Linked DNA regions of Rhinolophus ferrumequinum. The protein of the gene in region 1 binds, or shares a complex with, the protein of each later gene. Links are inferred from orthologs where the notes say so. Each region holds a gene or a part of one and is shown on either strand. Other genes may lie near its edges.

The links. Proteins that work in one complex are often made in the same cells at the same time.
Region 2: the proteins of IZUMO1 (region 1) and IZUMO1R are in contact, whole or in part, in a crystal structure (PDB 5JKC), measured with the Homo sapiens proteins. The link is inferred for Rhinolophus ferrumequinum from reciprocal best matches to the Homo sapiens genes IZUMO1 and IZUMO1R. Residues at the interface, in NP_872381.2 of Homo sapiens: Met75, Val77, Tyr134, Val141, Leu146, Trp148, Lys150, Asn151, Lys153, Glu155, Val156, His157, Ala158, Arg160, Lys161, Ser162, Tyr163, Asn239, Ser240, Ser241, Pro242, Ile245; in NP_001186135.1 of Homo sapiens: Lys42, Tyr44, Glu45, Ile48, Leu58, Trp62, His65, Leu66, Asp67, Gly80, Leu81, Leu82, Met83, Pro84, Gly85, Arg87, Ile91, Met145, Ser146, Tyr147, Gln171.

The regions. Positions count from the first base shown.
Region 1 is NC_046298.1:44,187,590-44,195,631, forward strand, and holds the start of IZUMO1 (izumo sperm-egg fusion protein 1), read right to left. Parts: upstream 3,069-8,042; 5' UTR 3,001-3,068; coding exon 2,766-3,000; intron 2,434-2,765; coding exon 2,359-2,433; intron 1,979-2,358; coding exon 1,892-1,978; intron 1,445-1,891; coding exon 1,424-1,444; intron 1,120-1,423; coding exon 1,039-1,119; intron 855-1,038; coding exon 754-854; intron 494-753; coding exon 340-493; intron 37-339; coding exon 1-36. Other genes in the region: FUT1 (galactoside alpha-(1,2)-fucosyltransferase 1), read right to left, coding at 5,236-6,351. UniProt on the Homo sapiens protein: Essential sperm cell-surface protein required for fertilization by acting as a ligand for IZUMO1R/JUNO receptor on egg.
Region 2 is NC_046294.1:65,204,267-65,211,174, forward strand, and holds the start of IZUMO1R (sperm-egg fusion protein Juno), read left to right. Parts: upstream 1-3,820; 5' UTR 3,821-3,888; intron 3,889-6,908. UniProt on the Homo sapiens protein: Receptor for IZUMO1 present at the cell surface of oocytes (oolemma), which is essential for species-specific gamete recognition and fertilization.

The DNA of each region.
Region 1 (8,042 bases):
ATGACGGTATCTCCTCCTCGATTCTTTTGGGCAACACTGATAGAGGAGGAGGGAAGAACAGTCCTGGGAAGGCATGAAGGTCCCGCCAAGGCAAACCCTCCCCTCAGCAACTTGCCCCAAACCCTGCAGGAGATAATCACGCGCCTCCAGCCTCCAATTGTGTGTAGCGGGAACAAACCCAGAGGGGAACCCTGCAGCTGTGGCCAGAGGCCACACCCAGGTCAGGAAGCCTGAAAACCCGATGGGGAGTTATGCCCCCATAGGCCACACCCCTGAAGCGGACCACCCCCAACCCCAGGACCCTGAAACCCATACTTCTTTCAACTCCCCAGCACTGACCTGTGACATGAAAACGGATGACCGTGGCCGGGCTAGATTGCACGGTGTCCAGCTGGCAGCGATAGGTGCCTGCATCCAGTGGGTCTACCATGATCTTGGTCAGGGTAGGCTCTTTCCCCTTGGACACCAAGGTCTCAGACTTGTTCCTCCAAACCTAGACCCAAGCTCAAGGGGTCACAGAGGCCTGGGGAGTTCAGGGGTTGGGGGAGTACAGGGGTAAGAAGATCACGGGGCCTCAAGGGGAGATGGGAGTCCTGAGTGTACTGGTCAGGGCATGGTGTCACCGGGGTGAGTGGGAGCCAAATCTGGTAGGTCACGGGTCATGGGGATTGTGGGTGCAGGCCTGTGGATACAGGGTTCACACAGGCCTGATGGACTTGGATTTCAAGGGTTACAGGAGTTGGAGGGCCCCACCCTGTAAAAGCTGTAATCGGTCAGGCCTTGAGAGGCATGATGCCAGTTGAGCTCACAGTCCAGGATCATGTCTTCCATTTCATGGACCTTGACTTTGCGCTCTGGGGATAGGGGGTTACTGTAGGAAGCCCGTTGGGTTCTCGGCCTTCCCCCAACCTCCATCCACTAGGTTGGCCCCTCTCTTTCTCCTCTGCTGGCTCTAGTCTCCGCCCTCTCTAGACTCAGTCACTCCTCTGGCTCCGCCCCTCTTGCACCAACCCCTCCTGCTGGACCCAGCTCTCTCACCCCCGCAATCCAAGGACTTCCGACAAGCGTGAACCTGTTTCTTGCAGTTACTGCACCAGATCAGCGTCTGCAACATCATACCTGAAGGGGCAGGGTCAAGGGGGTGTTTTTCCCGACTAGCAGGCGGGGCTAAAAGGAGAGGGCAGGGCCAAGGGCGGGGCGGGACTAGAGCGCAGGCCTGTGGGAAGCGGAATCTAACCAGTGCGAAAGAATGAGCTGCGCTCGCCAAGAAGGCTTTGGGTGCGGGAGGAATACTGGAGACCTAGGAACCTCCCAGACGCGGAGAATGAAGAAACACCAAGACCCAAAAGGGGGAGGAGAAAGGCTGGGTATTCACGGGGCAAGGATGAGGGAGAGAGAACCGGCTCCCATGATCCGAACTCACCACATTCGTTGGGACAAAAATCTGCCTCCGCAGAAAGAAAAAAATGAGGATCAGATTTTTAAGTTAAAAAGGATGAGGGACGGGGCAAAGGAAGAGGCTGAGGCTGGAACTCCTGGCTTTGAGGGAAGAAGGACCTGGGGGCCTGGATCCCTGGGTCTGAGTGGGGAGAAGGTTGGGAGAGCTAAGGGGCTGGGGACAGGGACTCTCGGCCTGTGGAAGGAGGGGGGCTGGGGTCCGGGACTCCCATCTTCCCTCACCCTCTTTTTGGAAGTGAGCAAAGGAAGAGGCTGGGGCTGGAACTCCTGGCTTTGAGGGAAGAAGGACCTGGGGGCCTGGACCCCTGGGTCTGAGTGGGGAGAGGGTTGGGAGAGCTGAGGGACTGGACTTCAGAAGAAAGGGGCTGGGGACAGGGACTCTCGGCCTGTGGAAGGAGGGGGGCTGGGGTCCAGGACTCCCATCTTCCCTCACCCTCTTTTTGGAAGTGAGCAGCATATCTGGCAAAGGTATCCTTTTGCAGGTGCAACATCCAGAATAGCTCTTTCACGAAGAGCTCACCTAGGAAGAAGCAGGATGAAACAAAGTGGTCCCCTCCCCCACTTCCAAGTGCGAGGTACAGGAAGTTTGCCTCAGTCTGCTGCTCCGGTATTCCGCTTTTGGGCCTTCTCAGGGAAGGACAGTGAAACTGAAATGACCACCTAACATAATGGCTAAGCAACAAATGGGGTGAGGTCACTGATATGGTCTCCATTTTAGAGGTGAGGAAGCTGCAAAATCCCTTGCTCAAGGCCACACAGCTAGGAAGTGGCAATGCCAGAATTTTAACCTAAGCAGTCTGGCTCCAAAACTCAGTATATGACCCCCAGACCAAGCATCACCAGCAGCAATCACTTCCCTGGGATTCTGGAGCCCCTCCCATGTCCCCTCCGTGCATTTACCTTTTACTTCACTATCCGTGATGCGTTTCAGATCCTTCAGCAAACTCCAGGATGCCTTCTCCAGTGTGGGCTCATCTATGGGGAGAGATAGAACGCCAGGTTCCAGTATTGTCTCATTGCCTCACCTAGTCTTAGAAACTACAATACCCATGGGTACGGATAGGTCTGGTTAAGGGATTACCCTCCCGTTGCTTTCTGGGAGTTGTAGTTTTATTACAATTGCAGGCTAGGGCTATGGGAACACAGTATTTCCTAGCCCCGGGAACCCCGAAATCTGTACCACAACCTGTTCCATTCCCGAACACAGGAGACTCTGCTTGCAGCCTTCTTCTCCCTACCCCCAGCAGTCCTAGCCCCAGAACCCTCTTTTCCCAGGACCGGGGGTCCGGGCTCCACCTTGCCCTCACCGACGACCCCCAGATAGGAATCCTCGTCAAACGGCAGTTCCTTGAAATCCTGCAAGGCCTGCTTTACCCTTTTCATCAAGTTTTTGTGGTGCTCGGCCCCCAGGTGGCCAGGCAGGTAATCCATCTCCAAGTTGTTTAGCGCTTCCACGACTTTTGTATCACACAGGACACAAGTCCGGGCAGGAAGCAGGCAGCTGGCCAGCGCCGCCACCAGGAGGGGAAGCCGCGGCCCCATTGCCGCCAGAACCCCTGGAAGAGTCCTCTCACCCCAAACCGAGAGGAAGTGAGGGCTAAACGGAGAGATGCCCTTCCCGAGACTAATGGACCCTAAATTTACAGGGCGCACACTTCTTGTTAGGAAACCGAGGAATCCCATTGCACCCTCGACAACTGCTGCCCGACCGTCTCTCCAGGGTGATGTATCCTCGAACACTAGGGCTCGCTGAAGAGCCGAGTCCGGCTTCTGAGGGCTTTAAGAGAGGAGGACCGAGCCACGTCCCTCCACACTGATATTTTCCCACTACTAAAATTAAGGGTTTTGTTGGGGATACGGTTTGTAATAGAGAGCATTTGACTGCGGTTAGAGTCACGGTTCGCCCCTATCTACAAGGAACTCCCACAGCCTCCACCATATAGCTTCCCACGTAAAACCCCTAATTCGCAAAAGATAGTCCCTGGGGGCTTCCCTGGCCCCGCCCGGAAGCCCAGTTCTGAGTCCGATTGGACCGCAACAAAGGGAGGCCCCGCCCACTCCTCCTTGATGTCACAGAAGCAGCCGCCTTTTCAGACCGGAAGTTTCGCAGCATCTACTGAGGTGGAAGTATCCTGTCTTCTCTAGCTTTCCAGAAACGAGGAACGAAATTCTGCGCTTCAGCTTCCTCCTCTCCCTGGGCCCCAGGACCCAGGCTTCCGGTTGGAAGCCCAGGACCCTTTGGGAAGCCAGTGATTGAGCCATGAAGACGCGCGAAGTGGCCCTTCCCAGCCCTAGGACTACGATTCCCAGAAGACCCCGGGGTCTCCATAGCTGATTACCGCAACCAACCCCATACCTTTATGGGAAGTGTAGTTCAACAGTTACACTCTGTGCACACTTCCTCCCCCACTTTCTCTTCCAGCCTTTGGGGCTGCACGTCAAGGTTCCAAAGGAAATCGGTCTGGGGGCCGATACTGAGAGTCCGGAGAAAGGAACTGCGGCTCAGAGACCACAAATCCCACAAGAGGCGGCCAAATCTGAGCAGGAACAATACCCTAAGATATGAGTCATGAGAGTCCTTGGAAGTTCTGAACTTTTCCCCCTACTCATTCACTCACTCACACACTCATGCACACAAGACTCAAAAAAAAAAAAGAAAAAGAAAAAGGAAAAAAGCCTACAGAGACAGGAGTTGGTGACGTAGACTTTTAATCCATACCTCCCTCTCTCACTATGGCAGCTGAGTAGGAAAAGTCTCCCAAAACTCCCTGAAAAGACTAAAAAAGAGGCTTAGATTCTTAGACAATTCTGCAATAAAAGATCTACCTTCACCCCCTTCAAAAAGCATCAAGGGGTTCCTGAAATCTGAGTCAAGAATCCCATCCTCCTTGGCCAGACCCTGGCCAAGAGTGCTCCTGCTTGGGTTTGAGGCCTGTCTGCATACCTTGGGATCTTTCCATCCCTCATTTGCCCAAAGCCAGATTTAGCAGACAGACCATGGTTGGCAAGGGGCGTGATACCGGTGGCTTTCTACAAGCCCAAAGGTCATGTTTATGTTGATTGACCTCCAGAAAAATCCATCCCATCAACCCCAGCAGCCCAAAGTCTTTGTGTGTTTTTTTCAGGGGCTGAGAGGATGGATAGAATTCCACTCTTCTCACAAACTGTCACAGCTATACATAGTTTATCTTCCATCAATCTTCCTGGCAGTGGTGAGGTATTGAGCTTCTGGTTGTACCTTCATTCGATTTTTCACCAAAGTTATCTGGAATTCCAGAACCCTCTCCCCTCTGCAAGGGCCCTGCAGGGTTCTTCACAGGCATTAGAACTGGTCCCCTCTAGAACAAATTCCCATCTAGAACCAATCCAGAAACAGAAGGAGAGTTGGTGAGTGCTTGCTCTAGAATTTCCATGAGTTTCTTCAGTCCTGATGACTGAGGAATGGAGAAACATCTCTTCTAGAAAAGACCAGAATGATCAACACTAAAGAGGGGAGTTCCTGGTTCCTGGGTGGGCAGCCATCTAAAAGTACTCTGGATATAGGCTTGGAACTACAGGTGGGCACTGTGCCTTGCAGAACTGTCATGAGTCTCCCCAGACATTGCCAATCATCAAGAAAATGTCTTCTGCTGGTTCTAGAATGTTCAGGCAGTTGCAGGTAGCTCTGAGCCAATTAGAATCACTCTAGAAATGGGTGCCCATCTGCTGCCGGACCACCACAAGCTTCTCCAGAAGCTGCTAGGATTCTGGAGACGCACAATGCTGGCCCTAGATCGATCAGGCTATTCCAGAAAGACTCCTCCGCAGTTTCTGGAGTGGAGACAAGTCTGCATTAATGCCCACCCACTCAGGCAGGAAGGCAGCCTCCGGCTTAAAGATCCTGAGAAAGCTGGAGTCAGGCAGGGTGAAGTTGGCCAGGTAGACAGTGTCTCCACCGGCCAGGTAGGCGGCCCAGAAGCCAAAAGTGCCAATAGTCATAATGGTGTGGTTGCACTGTGTGAGCAACGCAAAGTCCTTCTCGGGTGACTCCTCCTGCCCATCACCAGCAAAGATCACATCCCCCTGGGAGGGGTTGATGTTTTCCCGGCACCACCCCATGCCGTTGCTGGTGACCACAAAGATGGGGGCTTCATGCCGCGCCCGAAACCAGTCCATGGCCTGCTGGAGGTAGACGCCATCGCCCACCACACCCTTCCAGCGTTGAGGCATAACCTCCAGGTAGTCCCCACGGCGCACGTGGACACCCACGAAAGTGCGCGGGAGGACCCCAGTAGCCGGCAGGCGGAGCTGTCTCAGGAAACCTTGGGCCTTTTCCCGAAGGTGGTCATGCAGGGTGAACTCACTCCGGATCTGTTCCCGGAGATGGTGGAAGAAGGTCCAGGAGCAGGGGAAGCCAGTGAGCTTCAGCAAAGGGTCCTTCAAGTGGGCGTACTCCTCTGACATCCAGTCGTGCAGCTGCAACTTCCGCCAAGGCGTGTGGCTGTCCACCTCAGGCGCCAGCACAGGCAGGGTGATGCGGAACACGGGAGCCAAGGCAGCGTGCATGTCCGGCAGGATAAAGGCCCGGCGGCCATTGAGCTGAGCCAGGGCAAGCAGAGTGGCGTACTGCCCCATCTGATTACCCAAGCGGCCCGCTGGGGAGATAGTCCAGGTGCCTGAGAGGGAGGCAGGGTTCTTGGCACAGGAAGAGGAGGTGTTGGTGCTCATTGGCGTGCCTGACAGGCAGAAGATGGCCACAGGATTTGTCAGCAGGTGTCGGTCTGCAAATAGGGCAGATAGGTCCAGGCCGTTGTGAAAGAGGTCTTGAGAGATGTGGAAAAATAAGACTGATGAAAGAACACACACTAGGAGGAAGGTCAGACAGAGATGCCGCCGCCGGCTGAGGGCCCACATGGCTGCAGGGGATAAAAAGTGAATTAGCAGAAACTCAGAGCTGGAGGGCCCCCAGCCTCTCTTCCCTCAGACCCAGGAGTCCAGGGAGCAGGGGCCTGATGGAACGAAGGAACTGAGGGTTTGGACTCCGGGTCTGAGGGAAGAGCAGCTAGAGACTTGGAATTTGGGGGGGTGGGGTGGGCAGGGATGGGAGACGGTGAAAATTGCTGAATTCCAAGATAGCAATGGTCCAGGGTCCATAATCTTGTCCCCCTATCTTTCAATCTCACGCTTCCCGCCTATAAGGCTTACTGAAGTTGGGCTGTGTCCCACCAACTCCTTTCTCAGGTGTATTTTTGTGTAAGGGGCAGTCGACCACAGAGGTGACAAGCAACAGGTCAAGTAGAACATGAGAAGCTGGAGGGCCAGGACTGATAACAGACCTTGATTCCTGGAGGAGCAGGAGTTGGGAGTGGGGTGGGGTGGGGGTGGAGGAGACTCCTGGGACTGAAGACGCGATTGCTGGATTTGGGGTATCCGCAGTTGCCACTAACCTGAGCTTCTGGCGGGTGGCAATACACAGTATGACAGAGAGCGCCGTCCCCAAGATCAGTTCACATCCGGTCGCCACGGAACCGTGGACTCCGAGTTCCCAAAACCCGCAGCCCTTCCCTCCACGCCGCCTCCAGGGACTGGCAGCGAGGGCTCCGCGACGAAGGAGAGTGGGCGCGGTCGCAGGTTCACAGCCTCTGCACCTCCGCAGCCAGGCAGACACCTCGGAAGCGGAGCCCCGCCCCTTCCCTGGGGACCCGACCAGGCGCCCCGGGCTAGGGTGGTAGCCCTCGCGCCCAACCCTCTCCAGACCCGGAGGCGCTCCCCCCTCTCCCTCCTCCTCCCAGGCACCGGCCAGCGAGAGGGCTCCGCCCCCGGCATCCTACCTGGCCACCTAGGAGCCGCGTCGTCCATCTGTGGATGTGGAGATCTAGCTCCCAGCTGCACTGCTGGATCCTGGCGTTCCGGTCCGTCAACCTCTCCCTCTTCCCCGCCGGTGCCTGGTTTACCACCTGCCGGGTGTACTTGGATGCGTCGAGCCCCTCCACGCCCCAACTGCTGGAGTGGGGCCTGAAACCCGGCCCCGGCGGGGAAGGCGTCCCGGATTACGTCCTCCGGGTGGGACTGGAAAACCTGTTTGCCAGGCTGCTCCACGAGGGGATGGCAAGCCTCCTCCAGTTCTCAGGGCCGCCCATCAGGGGCCGCTGACCCCCCCCCCCGACCCTGTTCACCCGCAAATTCGAGAGTCGAGGCCCCCAGACTCCTTTGGGGGAGATTCTAGCTCTGGCGCCTAACTACTGCTTTCTAGAAGGGCACGTCCCGGAGGCAGCATCTCCCGAGGAAGGGAACGGGAAGAGTTCCTCATCTTTGCCTGTCGCAGAGGCCAGAGCCCCGCGCGGGAAGGCTTCCGCCCCGCAGAGCTGAAGCTGTTTGTGTTTTTGAAGGCTCCTTCCCTCCTCACCCACCCTGGCCTGAGCAGTCTGACCATTGTCATTCAATGACTCAAAGACTCTGGAATTTGACTTGACTTCCATTTGACTCTAATTCTTTCAGGCCCAGGGCTGGGGTTTGGGAGTCCTCAGATTGAGAAATCCAGGCCTCCAGCGCCTTCCTCCTTCAGAACCAGTGTCCCATCTCTGCACCCTTAGGTTCTAGGAAAT
Region 2 (6,908 bases), on another chromosome or scaffold:
GTTTAATACTACGCTGCAGAGCACCGGTTATTTACACTTGTGGTGGCGTGTCTGACTGGGAGCTGTGGCTTGCCACCACTGCCCAACCCTGTGACAGAGCACCACACTGCACATCACTATCCAGGGGAAAGAGCGAAATTCGAAGTTTCTACTGAATGTGTATCACTTTCAAACCATCGCAAAGTCGAAAACTTCTAAGCCGAACCGTCTTAAGTTGGGGACCATCTGTATTTACCTCATGGTGTTACTTTTGAATGGATTAATATACATGAAGTTTTTCAACAAGGCCTGGTACATTACAAGCACATATAAATGCTTTCTATTATTAATATTTGCAATGGGCATTGAGTATATAACCGTGTGTGCATACTTCAGGATTCTTTGGGTAGTAAGCAACAGAAATCCAGCTCAAACTAGCTTAATAAAATAGCAGGACTTATTGGATTACATAGCTTGCCGGTGGACAGGAGAGGTTACATAACCAAAGGAGGAAGTATCAGAGCTAAGGTCTCACCCAGAAGGGTGAGTCCAGTAGGGGACTCAAGTCTCCTCACTCTGTGCAGCACTGCTTGTCTCTGACTGTCCTTGTGTCTTGGCATCATTCTTTTTTCTGAAGACAGATTTACTTGGTATCAGAGAAGAGGTCTACTGTAGATCAAAAGCCACATTCTTTCATCGCAGAATCCAAGAAAAATGGTTACCCTACCCCCTCCAATTCAGAGAATTTTATGAAGGACTCTGATAGTTGACCTTGAATCACGTGCTCACCGTTGGACTAATGCATGGCTTTGAAGGGACATCATATTCTGTCTGGGTCACATGTCCACCCCACTGAATGGGAGAAATCATCATAAGTGAAAGCCCACCAGGACCATGTGGAGTAGGAAGAGGTCCCCAAAGGAAGGGGACCCCCCTTACCAGAGAGGTGTAAGGAAAGCACATTAGAGAGATTAAAACAATAGCTACCAGAGCTGGCTACAAATAAAACACTGTTCCTGCTTCTAGTAGGAGAAAAACAGGTACAGATAAATTAATCATAATTATCGAGCATCTATACCACGTCAGGTGCTGCAAAGTTGGTGGTACAGGAAGGAGTAAGATACTCTCATTCTCAGCTGCTGGTCTTACAGAAGTATTTTGCTTTCCCCAGAATGTTCCTGAATGCCCTTTGCCCACTCCAATATTTGAAATGCAGTAGATAAACTAGGGCAAAGATATTATGCCAGACTACAAAGGAATAAAATATAAGCACTCATTTTCAATTTGGAAAGGAGCTTGTCTGGGCAGTATTTTTATTATTTTTTTTTTAATTCCTTCATGGGGAAATTGGCTACAGTGGCTGAATGATTAATTGGCATTGCTTTGTCTGAGTGGAGACCACGCTTTTAATTCTGAAGGATTAAGGGGCTTCTTTGGTCACTTCCTCTATTCTTTACTGATCACAAGAGAAGGCAGAGATGCAAAAGTATTTGTCAAACAGAAATGCCAGACATTTATGCCTGCTGTGCTTCTACTTTCTCATTTTAATAATTATTAACAGCTTCGCACTGGTTTTTTAGGGCTGCTATCACAAATGACCACAAACTGCACATCTTAAAACAGAAATGTATCTTCTCACAGTTGTAGAGGACAGTAGTCCAAGGTCAAGGTGTTGCCAGGACTATTCTTTCTCTGAAGGCTCTAGGGAAGGATCCTTTCTTTCTTCTGCCTAGTTTATGGTGATTGCTGGCAATCCTTGGTGTTCCTGGGCTAGTAGATATATCACTCCAACCTCTGCTTTCTTTTTCCTTGTGTCTGTTTGTTTCTTTTCCTCTTCTTATAAGGACACCAGTCATATTGGATTAGGGATCTCTCTGATGACTTCACCCTAATTTGATGACATCTGCAAAGACCTTGTGTCCAAATAAGGTCACATTTCACAAGTACCAAGGGTAAGGACTTCAACATATCTTTCTGGGGGAGACATAAACTCATGACAAACCTGATCTCATTTACAAAATGTTCAAAGTGACTTACAAAAATAAATGAAACTGGGATTTCCCAAGCCTCTCACCAACTTGAAAGTATGAAGAATGTCATATCCACTCCAGCCTTAATCTGTTAATTATAGTGGCGATCTCTCTCTACCTGTTTATGGGGAACCTCAGTGCCTTTTGAAAATCACACCAAAAAATAACAAACTCAGGAGCTCCTTAGGAGAGATTCTCCCACTGGGAGGAAAGACCAGATTCACACTTTTGTGCCTTTGCTTACATGGGGCCACACCTCACCACCTCTGTGGCTGGTGACACCCTGAGCATACTCTCTGCTAGTAGGCTCACTGCATTTCCATGGCAACGCTGCACTGTGGTTTGTGGCCGTGGAAGGGACTTAGGCCCTTGCTCTCCATCTGGTTGCACTTTGTCACCATACTGCCTCGTTTTACAAAGTTTGTCCTGAGCCAACCCCTGCAGCCTGAGGTCCTAAGCATTTGTGCAGAGGCTCACATCTGGGCTAGGACCACTCCTTCTGTGGGCATCATTTCTGATTGTCTCCTCACGCACCAGAGCACACAGCTCCCCTGCCTTCATTTCCCTGTTCTCCTTCCAAACACACAAAAAAGCAAACACTCTTCCTATTAATTCATGAAACTAGATCCCAGAAGAGCCCAGAACAAATTCATAAAATCCTTAGCAAACAACCAAACTTTGAATCTTGATTTGGCTTCACCCCAAAAACAGGAGCCCAAAAGCATCTGCTTTATACACAAATCCAACTCCACAAAATTGATTTAAAAAATCTGAGAAAGGAAGAAATAAATGTAGAACTGAAATAAAAGGCCAGAAGAAAAAGATTATATATAGAAGCACATTGTAAATCACATTGTAGTGGCCAAAGAATCAGCAATAAGATTCAGAGTCTTCAAACAAAACAAAACCAGTAGTTCAGGAGGAACAAGATTTGCTCTGGTACTGTGGTCTGACATTTCTATTTCAGTTAACTTTATGTTTTCAGTTTGCTGCTTTGTCACATCAAACCCATTTCCCTTTCCTCCTGGGCACAAAGCTAGACTATCAGGTGTCGCCATGTGACTAGGCTCTGGCCACCGAAATATGGCCAGAAGTGATGTGTGTAATTTCTTGGCAGAAGCAGATAAGAAGCAGAGGTACCTTTCTCATAGTCTCTGTCCCCATCTACGAGTTGAATGGGAAAAAGTCTGACCTCCATGAGGAGAGTAGAACCACAGAATGGAAAGAGCCTGGGTTCCTGTAGGTTTATGTGAAAGGCTGCTGGGCCATGCCACCCAGACCAGACTGTGCCACAGAGACAGGTAACCCTGTATTGTGTTAAGCCACTGAGACTGCAGGGTTTAGCTATTACAGCATCTAGTGTCCTTAAGTAAAATAGATGGGATAACCCTGGCCTTCTTTGTGTTGAACTCCTCTTCCACCCACTTTCCCTGAGGCACCAACAAACGTTCCAAAATATCAATTGCAACCTCTCCCAGCACAATAGAAAATATTCTACCAGGGGAGGTCTCGCAGTCACATCGATGAATTCTGAACTTTCTTATGATGTTTGTTTCTCCTGGATCTCTATACCTTCAGGCTAATACGACTTTACTCTTTCCAACCTGATAACTATTCATTCTTCTTAACAGAAGAAACTGAACTGAGGCTGGATTTGGAAAGTTCTGCATTCTCTCTGGCAACACTGCAACATCAGAGAGTCGTTTCCTTTGATGACAAAACACAAAGCGTGTATTCTTTCTCCTGCTGAGTGACAAAGCAAAGCTGCCCACATGGCACACTGTCCAGAACAGCAGGTCTTCACAGTCTTCTCAGAAGAGCCAGGCAGAATGGAGAGGAGAAAGAGCTGACCCCAGCCCGTCGTCTTTCACAGAGCAAGGTAAGCATTAGCCTGACATGACGTTCCCAGGCATGCTGATATGGCTGATGGAGTCCCTGTGTCATACCATTAGTACTCTGAATGACTCAGGCATTATTGTTTTCTGGTAGGTCATTTTGACATAAAATTCTCATGATGAATGGCTTTGCGAAACTCACTGGGCAAAATGTTCATTTCCTGAGCTGAGACTGCAATTAGCAGCCAATCAGTGAAGCCAATCACTTAGCACTTCCACATTACAACTTTAAGAGTATGAAGTCTCTTGGTCACTGGTCACTTGCTAAGACACAGAAGAAGCACTGGTCTGGAAGTCACATGACCTATTACTGATGCAACAATAGCCACCACTTATGGGGCACTTGTGTGTTTCAGATCATTCTGGGCACCTTTTCTGTGTCATCTCAAACATCTCCTTTCAAATAGGCTATAATTTGCATATCTACAAATTTTGTAGATATCGTCATTTCGCAGATAATTTCATAAACATTCCCATTTTACAAATAAAGAGAATAAGGTTCTGTCTACAGTATGCTCCACTGTATGCTAGTCCCTCCTGGAGATAGGACTCTGATTTTGAGGAGTTTAAAGTCTCTTTAAGAAAGTGAGACTTTCTAGAAGTAATTTGAGAATCATAAAAGGTAGCATACAAAGCTAGGTGAGTCTATTTGCTTCTCCAAGCTTGATGGAGCCTGAAGGTCATGGCTAGAGTGAGTGGGGGTGAGAGTCATGGCCAACCTGAAAGGTAAGGCTAGGATTACAGGGTAAAATCAGCTCAGTTACCAGATATTGGGATGGATAAACCCCAACAGCTGAATGGGAGTATGGCCAGCATTGAGGTGAGGGTGGAGAGACACAGTGGACATCAGCTGGGAGAGAGGAGATGGGTACTCAGGCGGAAGCTCAGGATCGCCTGTTCGTATTCTGTTGGGCAACTGGCCCAGGGACGCCCTCAGGTCAGTGACTCTTAACCTTGCCTGCACCTAAAAGATGCTGGGGGGAGCTTTTAAAAAATACTGATGTCTGGTCACTATCCCTCAAGATTCTGATTTAGTGGGTTTGATTTAATGGGGTTGGGTCTGGGTGTTGGGATTTTTCAGAGCTGCCTTGATGATTCCAATATGAAGTCAAGACTGAGAACCTCTGCCTTAGAGGTGCCACCACTCACCTGCCTGATCATTTATCTGTGTCTTTAATGGGCTTCCACATTCACTGGTTGTTAGTTCTATTCTGATACTTATAGGGGCTTTCCTGAGAAGGAAAGTATTAAAGAACCCTGGAGTTAGAAAGGGCAGGCTCCCTGGAACTGGTCGGACTCCTGTTAGACCTTGAAGGACTGATGTTTCTCTCGGGACAGGAGGGGCTGTATAGTAATAGAACCAAGGAGTTGGGCTGCCCACAGGCTCTCTGCCAGGTGAAATCCTGCCTTCACCTAAGGGAGTAGAGATGAAGCCGCGAAGAAGCTGATGAAACATTTCACAGTTTGGCTGGGTTTTGCCTTGCAAGCACGTGGTCCTTTAGGGTCTTGCCTTCTGATCAACCTCACAATTTCCATCTGCAGATTTAAAAAACCTTTATGGAGCCCCTTCTGTGTTGCAGGCACTGTGCTGGGGGCTTTGTCATGTTATCTCACATGATGTATAGGGCTTTTGCTTTTTTCTTTTTTACAATGCCTTATCCTTACCTCTTCAGTTTTTAGAGATTCCATATAAACATCTTAATCAGCTGGATTGTGGAAGATGGATTAGCTTTACTGTTTGGGGCTTCCAAGAATAGCTAATAATAATAAAATAATAATAATAATTAATAACAATAATTAATGATATATTAATTATATTATTAATTATTGTTATCATCATCATCTTCATCATCATTTATTGAGCACTTACTATATCCCAGGCATGGGGCAAACATTTTAGATTTTTGCCATCCCAATTCATTCCCATAACAACCCTAGAGCTGTATCATTCCCCTTTTAAAGATAAGGAAATAGATGTTTCGAGACTTTAAGTAAATGTCTAAAGGTCCTTTAAAAGTCTTTGCAGGACTAATGTTCAGATCTGTTTGGGTCCAATCTGACTGTTCTGATACCCTAGGACTGTGGTTCTCCTCCACCTTAGGGGCATATCAGAATATTTATGGCACTTTTTAAAAATAAACTTTTTATTTGGAATAATTTTTGATTTTCAGAAAAGATACAAAGACAGTAGAGTGTTCAAGTCAGATTATGTTGAGTGTTAAAATATAGATATGAAAAATCTGATATAAAGAAATAAATGGTTCCTTCAATCCATGTTTGTTGAGAGGGGTATTAAAGATGGCTTCACCGACATTTGTGCTACGTTCTAAAGGATGAGTAGTGTTCCAGCGACAAAGTAGAAGACAGGAAACGTGTTCAGGCACCAGCAACCTCATAAACAAAAGCACAGCTGCCTGCGAGCTCATTAGCATGTTTGGGCAAGAATGAACTCCAAGGTGGGTCCAAGGTATGAATTCATGGTAGAAAGTGGTGGAAAAGGTAGATTGGGGTCAGAAAAAGAACCCTGAAATATTTTTTGAATAACCTGATCAGATGTGTCCATTAGGATGAATAGTTTGGGCTACAGACGGAATGGATTAGAGATTGGCTGGATTGTGGTTCTTCAAACCCCACATGTCCAATACTGAATGAATTCTCCATCCTTCTTCAGCATTTCTCCAGGTAGTTAAGGCTTACCTGTCGTAGCCACTCAATCTCCAGGTCTATTGATTTTACCCCCTTCTCTCCACTGCCCCGCCATCACCGTAATTGAGGCTCTCATTTCTTTTCTGAGTATTGCGTTAGCCTCCCACGTATTCCCTTGCTCACAGTGTACTCTTTTAATTCACCTTCTTCATTATTGGTAATATTTCCAGCATGCAGAACTGATTTATGCAACTCCTGCGCTCAAAATTCTTCAGTAGCTGTCTTTACCCATAAAATAAAACTTGAAACTCTTCGGCATTGCTTCTAGGACATTTCATGATAGGATGGATTCCCTACA